Linked DNA regions of Rhinolophus ferrumequinum. The protein of the gene in region 1 interacts with the protein of each later gene in a biochemical or structural test. Links are inferred from orthologs where the notes say so. Each region holds a gene or a part of one and is shown on either strand. Other genes may lie near its edges.

What was found. The genes of interacting proteins can lie anywhere in the genome.
Region 2: the proteins of SMARCA5 (region 1) and POLE3 form a complex in vitro, tested with the Homo sapiens proteins (2 studies listed by BioGRID). The link is inferred for Rhinolophus ferrumequinum from reciprocal best matches to the Homo sapiens genes SMARCA5 and POLE3.

The regions. Positions count from the first base shown.
Region 1 is NC_046301.1:17,881,619-17,888,734, forward strand, and holds the start of SMARCA5 (SWI/SNF-related matrix-associated actin-dependent regulator of chromatin subfamily A member 5), read left to right. Parts: upstream 1-4,067; 5' UTR 4,068-4,474; coding exon 4,475-4,645; intron 4,646-7,116. UniProt on the Homo sapiens protein: ATPase that possesses intrinsic ATP-dependent nucleosome-remodeling activity.
Region 2 is NC_046295.1:65,274,926-65,282,071, forward strand, and holds the start of POLE3 (DNA polymerase epsilon subunit 3), read right to left. Parts: upstream 3,017-7,146; 5' UTR 2,579-3,016; coding exon 2,513-2,578; intron 2,412-2,512; coding exon 2,326-2,411; intron 1,960-2,325; coding exon 1,841-1,959; intron 1,564-1,840; coding exon 1,391-1,563; 3' UTR 1,386-1,390; exon of another isoform or gene 19-1,385; intron 1-18. UniProt on the Homo sapiens protein: Accessory component of the DNA polymerase epsilon complex. Participates in DNA repair and in chromosomal DNA replication.

The sequences.
Region 1 (7,116 bases):
CTCTATTCAGTATAGCACACGCTGTTCTAGTACACTAAGTAGGAATTTTAGGTATAAACAATATATATTTGTGTATTTGAGATAAAACACTAACATGGTTTCACATTAGCATTCTATTTCTGGGAACATACTTATAGCACTAATTCCTTCTAGTGTTTTCTTGACACTATTCCCCTTACCCTTCTCCTTATTAAAAAACCACTAGGTTCCCTTTCCTCCAACTAGACTCTGACTTTTACTTAGGCTTATGATTTTTCAGGATAAGAATATCTAACACTTGAACCAAGAGCTCAGTCTATGTCAGGCACCGTATTAAACACCCTACGTGCACAATCTCATGTAATTCTTATGACATCATTGTAAGAATATTATATAAAGTTGGGATAATATACAGGTATACCTTGTTTTATTGCAATTCACTTTATCACACTTTACAGATACTGCATTTTTTACAAATTGAGTGTCAAGCAAGCCTATTGGTGCCATTTTCCCAACAGCATTTACTTACATCATGCCTGTGTGTCACATTTTGGTAATTCTCACAATATCTCAAACTTTTTCATTGTTATATTTGTGATGGTGAATATTACATACACTTAGTTGACAAAGCAGCAGCAGGATTTTAGAGGATTGACTCCAATTATGAGAGAAGTTCAAAATTGGGTAAAATGCTATCAGACAGCATCACATACTACAGAGAAATTGTTCATGAAAGGAAGAGTCAATTGATAAGGCAAACTTCATTGTTCTTTTATTTTGAGAAATTGCCAGAACCACACAAACCTTCAGCAACCACCACTCTCTGATCAGTCAGCAGCCATCAACATTGAGGTAAAGACCTTCCACCAGCAAAAATTTCTGACTTGCTAAAGGCTCAGATGATGGTTAGCATTTTTTAGCAATAAAAAAATTTAAGTTCTGTACATTATTTTTTTAGACATAAAAAAGTGTGCTACTTATTGCACACTTAATAGACTACAGTATAGTGTAAAAAAACTTAACTTTTACAGGCACTGGGAAACCAATCTGACTCACTTGATTGTGGTATTTGCTTTATTGTGGTCATCTGGAACTGAACCCACAGCATCTCCAAGGTATGCCTGTAATAACAAAAAGATGAGATGATTTCAAATCAGTTATATAACTTACCTGACTTCATACAGCTACTAAATTCTGGAGCCTGCACTGGAACGTAGGCTCGCCCAACTCCCCAGCCTACTCTCTTACCACATTAATCCTATATTATGCTATCAATTCCAGAACTACCTGTTAGTTTTAGCCTATTAGTCGTTGAAGAAAAATAGGCCGTTGTGATTTGACCACCCTGTAAGTACTACATCTGCCTAACTCAGCTAATGTCCCTGTAGCTCAGTTTCCAGGTGTCTGGTCTTTTCTGTAGCTCTTCTTTCCACTTCCTGCTTCTAGATCATCCTCAAAATTTATTTCTCTGTTCTTGATGTTAGTTAGATTAGTGGATTCCAACATACTGTCTCCGCTTCCTCCTTTGTTCTAAGTATGTCTCCTGTATAATTTTCCCCATTAAGATTCCTATACAGCTTTCATATGAGAAACCTATGGTGTAAATACACACGTTAAAAGACAATTGCCATTTTGGAGACAATTTTATTTATTGCTTTTCTTGCTATTTATTGCTTTCCTTAAATACCTGTCATATTTAAGAAACTTCCATTTATATACTTCAGTATAATTTTAGGGATTCTAAACCAGCACCTACCACTATAAAGAGTGAAGAAACATTCTGAATATCAAATAAGTGTTATAGTCTTTCTACTTAACAATGTGAATATTAAATATTTATTCAACAACTATTTATTGAATGTCTATACATCAGATACCACCCTAGACACTACCTTTTTACCCTTCCACCCTTTCCACACCATCTTTTTTTGGTGAAAGTACATTTTTTAATATTAAAAATAAATTTTCTCAACATGATACACAAATTTATCTTAGAAAAAAATATATAAACAAGCAAAAATCACACATCAGTAACAATCACTTTCAATACTTTTTATGAATATCCTCCCAAATTTTCATCTATATTTTTGAACTATTAAACTTCTTTCAGTAAACATTATATAATGAACATTCTTCTACATTAATAATTGTTCATTTTGTGGGTGTACAATAGTTTTGGGGGTATTTTAATTATTTTTATTGGGGAATATTGAGGAACAGTGTGTTTTTTCAGGGCCCATCAGCTCCAAGTCAAGTCATTGTCCTTCAGTATAGTTGAGGAGGGTGCAGCTCAGTTCCAAGTCCAGTTGCTGTTTTCAGTCTTTAGTTGTAGGGGATGCAGCCCACCATCCCATGCAGGAATTGAACCAGCAACCTTATTGTTGAGAGCTCACACTCTAACCAACTGAAACATCTGGCCACTCCGGTGTGCAATAGTTTTAAAATCATATTTTCAATGTTGGATTCAGACTGTTATTAGATTTTTGCAATTACAATGTGAAAACTATTATGAACGTGATTGCAGGTACAGTAGTTCCTCGGTTTTTGAACGTCTCCGTGGACGAACATTTCGGTTTACGAACGCCGTCAACCCGGAAGAAAATGCTTTGAATTACCACCATGCCTCGGAAGTTGAACATGTCATGCAGCTTCCATTGAGTGCAAGATCCTGAGGCCTACCTGTCAGCTGATTCCCAACATTTCAGAACTCAAACGGTCTTCTGGAATGGATTACGTTAAAAAACTGAGATACCACTGTATTTATCTTTTCATATTCCTTATAATCTCAGAAATAGCATTTCTAGTGGGCTGGAAGACATTTATCCACACCTCAATTAAAGAATTATCATTAGATTATTTTAAAAATTTGTAAGCTATATATTCAAAAGGAGATCCCTTCTGTTTGAAATTCTAGTTAAACAACCAGTTAGCTTAAACCTTAAGTCTCAAAAATGTGTCCCATTTTTTAATAAACACTGATAAAATACTGGACAAGGGGATACAAAGATGAATAAATACCTGTGTAGGGCAGATGATTTACTGTAATATGCACATCTGTAATCAAATTGCATACAATGGACTTAAATTCTATAGCAGTTGGATACAGAAAGCTGGGTTTCAGAGAGCCTCAGACTGTGCAAATAATTAGTACTGATTATCTCTTCACACTTAAGGAGACTGCACTTTTTTTTTTCTTTTTTCTTGGGGAATATTGGGGAACGGTGTGTTTTTCCAGGACCCATCAGCTCCAAGTTAAGCCTTCGTTTTCCATCTCATTGTGGAGTCATTGGTTTCATCTAGTTGTGGAAGGCGCAGCTCAGTGGCCCATGTGGGTATCCAACCCGCAACCTGGGTGTTATGAGCACTGTACTCTAACCAACTGAGCCAACCAGCTGCCTGGAGAATGTACATTTTCATTTACTGCTTGGTGGTTAAGGAAAAGACACAACCCAGGGCCTCGCTTCCTTATTTATTGATTACTCATGTTTCTCACTTTACATGGTAGAATACACACAATTTGTTTACTTTCAGCATATAAATTCAGAGGAAATATCTTCTTTGTATCGAAGTAGAAGGTATTGAGAAATTGTTATGGCTAAAATGTGAAAATTAAGAGGAAAATAAATCAAACTAATGGGCATTCCTCCTTAGACAAAAAACTGAGACATCACTTGGGATAACGATAACGTCACCAACGCTGTGGCGTCACGCCTGTAATAAAGCATGGTACTAGAAGTGTTAAAGCCAGCACAGTCCTCCAAGTTTCAGTAGGTGATGCAAAACCTGGGCAAGTTTTCAGCGAGCGACACCAACCCAGGCCACGCCAAGAAGACACCGCGGCCGCAGACACTGAGCCGTTATAGAAGCGCGTTAAGAGTGCGCTCGCGTCAAGCCACTGAGCCGAGGCACAAACCTGTCTCAGAGCTCTCGGTCGAGGCCCCGCCCACTCTCGTACAGGCCTCGAGAGGGGCCGAAGGGGGCGTGGCAAGGGGAAGGAGAAGAGGATGCGCATGCGCATTCGCAACCCAGTCTATTAGCCAACTATCAATCTCGCGAGGGTTGAAAGTCGGTGGCGTAGGCAGTTGTCCTGGATGCTGGAGAGGTAGATGATATTGACCGGAGGAAGACGGGACCGCGAAGCTATTTCTTCGCCTCGGTCTTTTCTTCGCTTCCTTTTCCCCTTCCCGCAACCCTCCGCCCTCCTGTTAATCAGCCCGCCTTTCCTGACCTCAGTGACCCGGGTGGCTCCGCCCACTCTCGTCAACGTGATTCCCGCCGTGAGGTAAGCGCCGGTCGAACCCGATCCCCGCGGAAGAGGACGACGACGAGACGAGGAGGTTGCTGGTCCCGGTTCAGGCTCGACCCGGAGCCGCTGCGCAGAAGGCATTGGTTCGTTCCTCCATCAGTTCATTGAGACGTAGCCACCCCGGCCTAGGCCTCCTGATCCCTGCCGCGCCCGGCCTCCGGCAGCAGCGGGTGACGCAGACGGAACATCATGTCCGCGGCCGAACCTCCGCCACCCCCGCCTCCCGAGAGCGCGCCTTCCAAGCCCGCAGTCTCGGCCGCCAGCAGTGGAAGCAGCAACAACAAAGGCGGCCCCGAGGGCATCGCGGCCCAGGCAGCTCCCTCAAAGGTCGGCGCTGGTCCCGCTGACTCGGAGATGGAGGTAAGGGTGGCTTTGGGCACAGGGAGAGGGTGCAGTGGGGAGAAGGAGCTAGTTCACTTGTCTGCATTTTAGTGATCAGACGCAGGGCCGTACTTCGTACTTTGGGGTCCTCTCTACCCCAGATCCGCCTCAGGCCCTTTGGACCTGCAATGATGCTCCTCCCTTGCGTCCGGTGCTTAACCTGCCCAAACTGACTATGGGTTTCTGGCACTTAACATTTTTAGCGAATCTTGCCAAATCTTCGAATGCTCTTATTAAACAGATGTTCTTGATTACTGAGGCCGAGAACGACCTACCCGTTGTTTTTTTCCCTCCTAGACTCCCATAATTCCCTCTTCCATCTCTGAAGCAAGGTTTTAGTTTCTAGTAAACTTCGGGGACGGGCGAGGGAGCTGCCCCTGAGGAGTGAGGGATAGACGGGCGGGGTGGGAAAGGGATTTAAAATCAGCGCATCCTAGGACTTGGGCCTCCTTTTCCTCATCCTGGTCCTTGCGGGGGCGGTGTCTGTTCTTGGCAGAAAACAATGGCGAGAGCTGGATGGCCGAGTGCGCAGTGGGGATAAGCTGGGCGCAGCTGCTCCAGTGAAGGGAATGGAGGCCCCTCCCAGGCACTGTTCCGTTGGGAGGGAGGCGACCAAGGCTGCAGCAGCTGTCTTGGACCCCCATCTGATTTTGAGGGAGGGGGATGGATGAATGGGTGAATGAATTAGTAAGTCAGGGACAGTTGGTTGGTTGGCATTCAGTCCAACGCAGTTCCTCTTTGGGGGCCTTGGACTTTCTTTGAAAATCGGTACTGCTCGCCGCCCAGCCTGCCTTCTGGACGGGTTGACCAGAGGATGGTGACAGTACTGGGGAGGTGGAAAGATTGGGGAGCTGTCAGGTGGGTCTCTTGGGTGTGTTCCAAGGTTTTGTGATGTCTGAATAAAGTGATTGCTTGCTTCTTCCAAATTTTATTCTTGGCCTTCGATCTGTTTTGAGATATTTTATAGTCGCAGCCCAAAGATTTCTGGGATTTTTCCATCCTTGGATAGACAGAATGAAGGTAATACTGCTTTGAAAATGAGCCTTGATGCAGAATTAACCCAATAAGGAATTGTTAGTGCAGTTTACCATTGAAGTATTTGGCGCAATAGTTTTGTTTGGTCACCGAAGGTCTAATTGAGGGTGAAGTAACATGTTGTAATATTTTTGAAAGAACTTTTAGTGGTGAGGTAGGTTTTAGTGGACTAGGACATGTGATATTCTGTAGTTTTCAGTGGTTTGAGATTTGTTTAATATTCCTATCTACCGTTGCCTATTTTTTTCCTCTAAGGCTCTATATGGTTCTTTTAGATTACCAGGGAGGTTTAACTTGGATTCCTGCTCTATGCATGGCTTAAGGGGATTTGAAAACCTGTGACACTGAAATTGTGTCTAAATGCACACAATTCTTTGCAAAATGATGTTCATTCATAGTTTTCACTGGCTTTTCAAAAGGGTCTGCCATTAAAATTTTGGAATAACCAATGTCTCCCTAGAGATCTTATTTAAATATCAAAAGCAGAGTAATTTAAAACCTAAATATTTTGCTATTTTTAAATTAAAGTTGAATTAAAGTTTAAGTATGAATATTGACGTGATAAGTACCGTATGAAGTCAGTGGTATGTTTATTTGCTAGATGATGAAATTGAGGCTGCTGCTAAGTAGAACCTGTGGTAGAACCTGTGTCAGGCTCTAAGACTGACTCTTTTCCAACATATTTTGTCCTGTCAGATTCTTAGAAAAAAGGTGGTTAGCAATTTCATTTATTGAAGAATGACTAATAAGTTTTTTTACCTTAATATAGCAATATCAGTAATTTTGTCTTTTATCAATCTCTTCACTAATTTTAGTTTTGATTTTTTTGTGTTTTCTTTTCACATAGTGTGATTGGGGGGGTGATCTTTAAAATAAATGTACCTTCAGTCTGTTATTTTTGTTTGTCTCTTAACTGAATTCAGAAATCATTGAGGTTTACTGGTAAAAACTAGGTTTGCGCATACATGCGTAATACATCTAGCAATCTGTTTCGCAGTTGGAAAAAAAATTTTAATGCCATTTTCTTGTTTGAAAGTAGAATTTAAAGTAGGTTTTTTCCAAAATCAGAAAATAAATGAAATCATGCATTCATGATTTTTTCTGGCAAAGCTGACCTTCCCAGAAATATTAGCTAGCTTTCCTATGTATTCAGTTAATTTTTCCTTTTTGCTTGGTACTGATAGGTCAGCGAGCAATCTTTTTGTTGATTACTATGATCTTTTTGGTAATGTGATGAAGCCTATCTTCCATCATCCTCATCCCTCACTACTGACTAGACTGGTAGAGAAGTATATGCCAATAAACTAGACTGACTATATGCCAATAATTGTATGAGCTCAAGTCCTGGTCCAAATCTTTCTCTTTTTTTATTAACTATGAAAGAAATAATGACTACTTTTGGAAAGCACATTTTG
Region 2 (7,146 bases), on another chromosome or scaffold:
AGCATGAAAGAGTAGTCATCACTTTTAACAAGAATGTTTTTTATTTGTACAAAGCACTGCAATTTTCTCAACATTCTTCACTCATTTATCAACTTTTCACTGTATTCATTTCACAAATTAAGTGTCAAACTACACCTGTCAACCTTCTTAGAGACAAAAAAGTGCTTGAAGCACTAAATGGAAAGAGAAAAAAAAATGAAGAAAGGTCAATAGAGATATTTTACAAATAGTTAAAGGGGATGGTTTGGCAATGGGGGTGGGGGGTTAGATTCTCGAGCACCATCGGATTTCCCTGAAGATTCAGGAGGTTTACAAAATCATTTTTAAAAGACATGAAATTGGACCTAAGAAATCAGAGGAACCTGTACTTTGGGATATAAAGCAGATTACTCAAGTTTCTGGACTGACAGAAGTGAGAAAAGAAGGGAGATAACGGGAATGGGGAGCAAAGGAAAGGAAGGAGAGAGACAGGAAGTGAGAAGCACAGGAGAAAGCTGTGCCTAGAAGAAATAAAGCTTGGAACTTGTCACGAACTGGAAGAATGAAAAGCCATAGTCCTAAGTCTGGGAGATGGCCTGTAAGAGAAAAACCTGGGATTTTTACCTTCTGGGTCACAATAAATCCTAACATTGTACAGTGGAAGGCAGTGAGGTGCATCTAAGACCAACCATTTGTTTTTTTAAGAGTTAGACATTGGCACACTTGCTTGACTAATTCCACTCTACAATGCTGATTTAAAAGCATATTTTCCCAGAGTGCAGCACACCAACAGGTCAAATGTTTGCAGGCAATACAGAAGGGCCCCAAGCCAAGTGGGTCTGTAAAAACCAAAATCCAATGAATGTTGACAGTCAAGTAAAGATCACAGATTCCATTGTTCTCCCATAGCCTTTCAGCAGTTTCCCAAAGCTAAGCCTTTCTGACCACTTGTAATAGCTAGTGTTGTCAGATACTGTACAAGCAGGCTGACCATGATCTAAGCCTCAATTTTTCCTGAGCCTTTGGCTGCCTCTGTGATTTGGAACACAGCACATGGCATGGAAGTTGTTATTTTTGGTGGGGTAAGCATGGAAGGAACTGAGAATCAAAACCTGCCTAATCACATATAAAAATAAACAAGAGAGATCAAATTGATTGATGAAATTATCCGTTCAGGATCCCTCTTGCCAAAAAGTCATAACCTTCAGGCCAATTAAGCAAAACAGGATTCTGCTACTCAGATGTTCTGAGTCTGGGAAGTGCCGGTTTGGTAATTCGAGCCAGTTTTCATTTCGATGGTCTCAGGCTCTGCTGCCTAAGAGTGCTCTGCCCAGTAGGAAAAAGCTTCATATAAACATACAGCACATTCCTGAGTGGTACCTTCCAAGGTGCCACAGTCTCCTCACCCTGGTCAGTTGTCCACTTCCTCCTCTTCATTCTGTTCTTCTTCTTCCAGTCTTTCCTCATCTTCGTCATTATCCTCATCCCTACTCTTGTCTGGTTCTTCTGAATCTGTTTTTTTGTCTTTGTCCTTCTTCTTTTGCTCCGAAGCTTCCTTCTTGCCTTTCTGCTCCCTCCTATATGCTGTAAGGAGGAAGGAGGGAGTTAGGAGGCAAGGCTGAACCACACAGATGGCAGCAGTTAACGCCTGTGTATAACTGGAAAAGCTGAGGCCCAGACGGAAAAATTACCTGCTAGAATGATAAGACCTGAGATGGTCCAACTGAAATGGTTCTGAGTCACACCCAATACTTGCTTACTGGACTCAAGGGATCCAAGCCAGAAAGACTTAGGACCAGGTGAGAAGGTCACACGGAATGAACATCTATCTATTTGACTGAGAAAATAAAATGGTCATTACCTTCCAGAGCTTCTTTTAACGGGGTAATGAACCGCTGGAACTCCATCTCTTCCATGGCTGAGAGCACATCACTGGCATTCAGTGTCTTGCGTTTCCCTTTCATGGCGAAGTTGTTGGCACTGAAACAAGAAGAGAAATATTAAGGGTCACCAGACTCGCCCTTGCCACTTATGGATCAGATAGAAAAAGGAGCACCCAGGGGTGGAATGGGAAAGCCCATGTCTTAGATGCACGGATTTTTGTGACATGGTAACTCCCTTTTCCCTGTACAAGAAAGTTAAAGCGAAGTTATTTTTTGTTTTATTTGCTTCAGATCCTGCAAAAAGTGGATGAAGGCTGTGAACCTCCCTCCACTGAGGTAGGATAGTAATTGGGGTTTGTGGGCTAAAAGCCACAAACTCGGGCGCAGGGAGTCTCTTTGCGCTTCCCTTATGTCACAGTCCCTTATGTCACAGCTAAGGTCTGGCTAGCTCTGCCCGCCTCACCAGGATGTGGCGTAGAGCACGAAGACGCTGGCGGCGCGGGAGATGGCGCTCCGGGCCTCCTTGGAGATGTTGACACCATCCGGGAGCTGCGAGAAGAGCGGGGGTGAGCAAAGCTACGGGCCCAGGACCTGTCTCCCCCATTGCCCGTCCGTCCGCCCCTGGCCCAACCGTCAGTCCAGCTGCTCACCGCCTCCTTGATGATCCTGGTGATGACGGCATTGGGCAGGTTGAGGTCCTCGGGCCTTTCCGCCATTGCCGCCACTGGGACCGGCCCTCCTTCTCAGGCCTCCTCTTTAGGCAGCTACGGCGTCCAGACTTCCCGCGTCGCCACGGTCTGACCCAACGAGGCTTCCGTCCCGCCCCACGTTGCCCACATCGTGTCCCATACGGCCCCGCGCGCGATAGCCTCCCTCCTCCAGCAGCCGCGCTTCCGCCTCAAGTCGCTGGCGCGGCCGAACGTTCCACGCCCCGATGGTTTCGGTCCGCCGGGGCTTCCGTCTGGCCCCACTGACACTCGGCGTCCCTTCCCAAGCTCGTTTGTCCGCTTCACCCACCACCACGTGTGGAGCTTTTTCACCAAATTAAGTCGGGCTCACTGGGGCTTCCGTCCCTTCCGCAGGGTACCGTGCGCCGCTGCCTAGCGACAGCGCAGCCTGCCGGCTAGCTCGGGAGACGGAGGCGAGGACGGTGCGGGCGGAGCGGGGCCCCTTGGGGCGGGAGGCGGGGCCTGGTGGGCGGGGCTCACAGACCTCATCCCGGCCCCGCGAGGAGCAAGGTTTTCCCAGTGGGCTTCGGCCTCCCAGCGGTGTGGCATCTGCTTTGACTCCGCGGAACCGCGACCCTCCGAGGCCGAATTCTCCCCTCCCTTTTTCCGGAACGAAGCGGGGAGTCTCTTTTTCAACTCTTAGCGGAGCTGATGTCCATCCTTAATCATTACACCCCTCCCAACTTGGTGGTAATAGTATTAAGGATAACTGCTACCTAGAATTTTTGAAGGCAATCTATTTAGCCAGCGCAGAGGCAATGCTGGCAACATAAAGGTGGGCATGACCAGACCTTGGGGCATTGCCAATTCGGGCTGGTCAGGTAAGGAAAGGTCGATAAGCAGCCGGCAACATCACATTCCTATTCAAAAACAAACCCTGTTAAAATTGTGGTTTTTTAGTTGATTAAATTGTTCATAAAACATCTTTCCCAGTCAAAAACATTACCACAGCTTTACAGTGGCTTTTTAAGTTGTATCATTTTCATGTTATGTATGTAGAAATTGTCCTCACTCCTAACTGAGTACTAATGCTTTTTTTTCTTGAAAGAGATCCCAAGTCACCCTTTCGTTTTCCTGCTTTTGATGAGTATAGAGAAATATTTCCCTATTATGAGAAAAGCAACAGGAATTTGAGGATAAATGGCAACTGAAACTGCTTCGGTTAGAAACTGTAGGGTCTGGTGGGAAAACTCTCCACTTTGATGGGACAGACCTGGTTTAAAGCTGTCAGGAGATGCTCAGCTTCAGTCAATTGCTGTCTAGTTGGAATTGGGCCCCCCTGTGTTGTCAGATATTTTGATTGCTAAAAGGAGCCAGAAATCTGGACAGTATGGATTATTTCCATTTTAAAATGGAAATAATGGCCCAAAGTGAAGACTAAATGAAACAAGACACAGACCAGGTGCAATCCCAGACCAATATTTTGCTACCTTTGGTCTAAATTATAAGCTCTTTAGAACAGAGACTTATTTTGTTTTTATTGTTTTCCATGCTTATACAGGTTCCCTCACATATTTGGTAGTCAATAATAAACATCTTGGATAAAAGAAAGTACAAATGGACACTGTCCTTAAAAAGTTGTTAGGGACCAGGTGGTAATGATTGCCTAAAACATTTTTAGAGAGAGAAAGATGATTGTATTTATTGAGCACCTATTATATTGTCACACATTAAAAGTACATGATCTCATTTAATCCTTCTACAATCCTGCTTAGGGATTTCTTGTCCTCGATATGAGGAAACAGGCTAAGAGGTTAAGTCACTTGTCCAAGACCCTACAGACAGTAAATGAAAAGCCAATGGCCTCTGATGCAACTGCAAGTCTGTCTACTGATTTGCTGTTTGAGCAAACCTATTAATTTCCGGTGGGTAGCTGCCTGTATGAAAATTGGAGCATTTGAAAAGTGAAGCCTATGGCTTTCAAAGTTTTGAGCCATGTAAAAGCACTTCTGTGACTACATTAGTTGTGATTTGATAAGGCTTTTTGGAGATGGTATCATTTCCTTCGTGATTAATGAAGGGGAAAAGGAAAGGATGCTGATATTCATTCTGAACTGTATACCGGACCTTTTAATATCCATTAACTAATTTTTTGTAATGACCCTGTGAAATAGGCTTATTCTCATTTTGCAGATGAGGAAACGGAGGCTCAGACTAACGAATCTTTTAAATGGTGAATTAGGAGACCTTCTAAAGTCAGTCTGCTCCCAAACTCTTGACACTCTACTTCATGCTGAGATGTTTTCATACTTGCTTGTTACCCTATTCTTAATTATTTTGTGACCACCATTTGCCTATATGGACTCAATAGAAATATTTTATACTTTTGAGTCCAAATTAAAATCTGGACTGCATGGCTAGTATATAATACTCCCTAATTATGTGGTTACTGTCTCTCCAGAGGGCTAAAAAGCTGCAAGGTTGGCTTGTGTCCTAAACCATTCATAACTATGGACTTGCCAGATGAGAGCCAGTGGGATGAAACCACCTGTAACTTGGCTGTTTGTCAGCATCCACAATGCTGGGCAACTATCCGCCGAATTGAGAGGGGCCACCCTCGAATCCTGGGCTCACCCTGCAGAGCTCCTCTGGATGCTAATGGTGAATTAGCCAACCCTTGTCTCTTTCCTTACAAGATCTTTGAACTGTTTCCATTTGGTTCCTTTTTGGCATGTTACATGTTTTCTTCTGGTCTGCTTTCTCAGACAAACTCCCAGTGCTCACCATTGTAAACATCTCAGATTCCTGCTTTCCGGCCAAGAGACATGCTCATCATCATTTATCAGAATTTACCTTCACTAAGCCTCACTCTTTATTGTCTCAGAGGTCAAAACTGGACTCCAAATTTCAAGGCAGGTAAATTATCATGGAATCGTCTTTTAAGGGCCTATTATCTCAAAATTTGGGGTTGACTTCCTTTATACACGTAGTAGACTTTGAGAAAGCTGGATTAAAAATAAAGCATCGATTCAGTTAAAGAAGTGGTAAATAAGCAATTGGAAACTAAAAGAAAGCATTCTTATTTGTGTTCTAGGAATTGGTTAAAATGGGAGGTGTATTAGTTTGCTTTGTTACCTTAACAAAGTACCACAGACTGGGTATCTTAAACAACAGAAATTAATTTTGTCAAAATTCTGGAGGCTACAAATCCAAGATTAAGGTGTTGGCAGAGCTGTTTTCGTCTGAGCCCTCCTTGGCTTGTAGGTGGCCATCTTCTCTTTATGTCTTAACATGGTCTTCCCTTTGTGTGTGCCCATGTCCTAATCTTCTCTTCTTCCATGTACATCAGTCATACTGGATGAAGGCCCACCTGTAGCACTTCATTTTACCTTAATTACCTCCAAATACAGTCAAAATCTGAAGTACAGGGGGTTAGGACATCAGCAAATGACTTTGCAGACACAATTCAGCCCATATCAGGGAATATTTATCTCATCAACTTCTATAGGTCATCAGAAAACTGTCTATGCATGCTGTCTTTCTTTTATTTTTAGGTATGAAACTGTTTGTAAATTCCTGAAGTCAGAAGCAATGGCTTTTCCTTTTGAATCTCCCTTTTGAATGTAGTCACCCAGTTGGTGTTTTCTGATATATGAAACTAAGATATCTGTGGAAAACTTAGACTTTTAAAATATGAAGACCTTGTTGTCTGGAATCAAAGCACTAGTGGTGGCCCTTGTAGAGATTTCTTGTTTCCTGTTCGATTTAAGGAATCCCTGGATGATTTCTCTTAGGCTAAAGAGTATAGGAGAGGGTAGGACTACTTTCAGTTTCTCTAGGACTTGAGGTGAGCCCTGGGAAAGTAGTGGTTTTTCCCAGTCAGGGTCTCTGAAGGTAAAGACCATGGCATCATTTTTTTTTTTTAAGATTTTATTGGGGAAGGGGAACAGGACTTTATTGGGGAACAGTGTGTACTTCCAGGCCTTTTTTCCAAGTCAAGTTGTTGTCCTTTCAATCTTAGTTGTGGAGGATGCCGTTCAGCTTCAAGTTGTTGTCCTTTCAGTCTTAGTTGTGGAGGGTGCAGCTCAGCTCCAGGTCCAGTTGCCGTTTTCTAGTTGCAGGGGGCGCAGCCCACCATCCCTTCCAGGAGTCGAACCAGCCACCTTGTGGTTGAGAGGATGCGCTCCAACCAACTGAGCCATCCGGGAGGCAGCTCAGCTCAAGGTTCTGTGTTCAATCTTAGTTGCAGGGGGCGGAGCCCACTATCCTTTGCGGGACTCGAGGAATTGAACCGGCAACTTTGTGGTTGAGAGCCCCCTGGCCCATATGGGAATCGAACCGGCAGCCTTCGGAGTTAGGAGCATGGAGCTCTAACCGCCTGAGCCACCAGGCCGGCCCCATGGCATCATTTTTTAGTCACTCATTGAATTACCAGATATGTCCTAGTGGGGGCCACTTTGCTCTCCACTGGAGAGACAGTGGTAAACAAGATAACAGCCTTTACCCTCAAGGGGCTTTCAGCCTAGTCGGGGAAGTAAAGAATCGTTCATTGTAATGAGTGTGGTGAGAAGAGTGCCTGCCCAGGTGTGTGGAGGCACCCAGGGCACTGTCTTCCA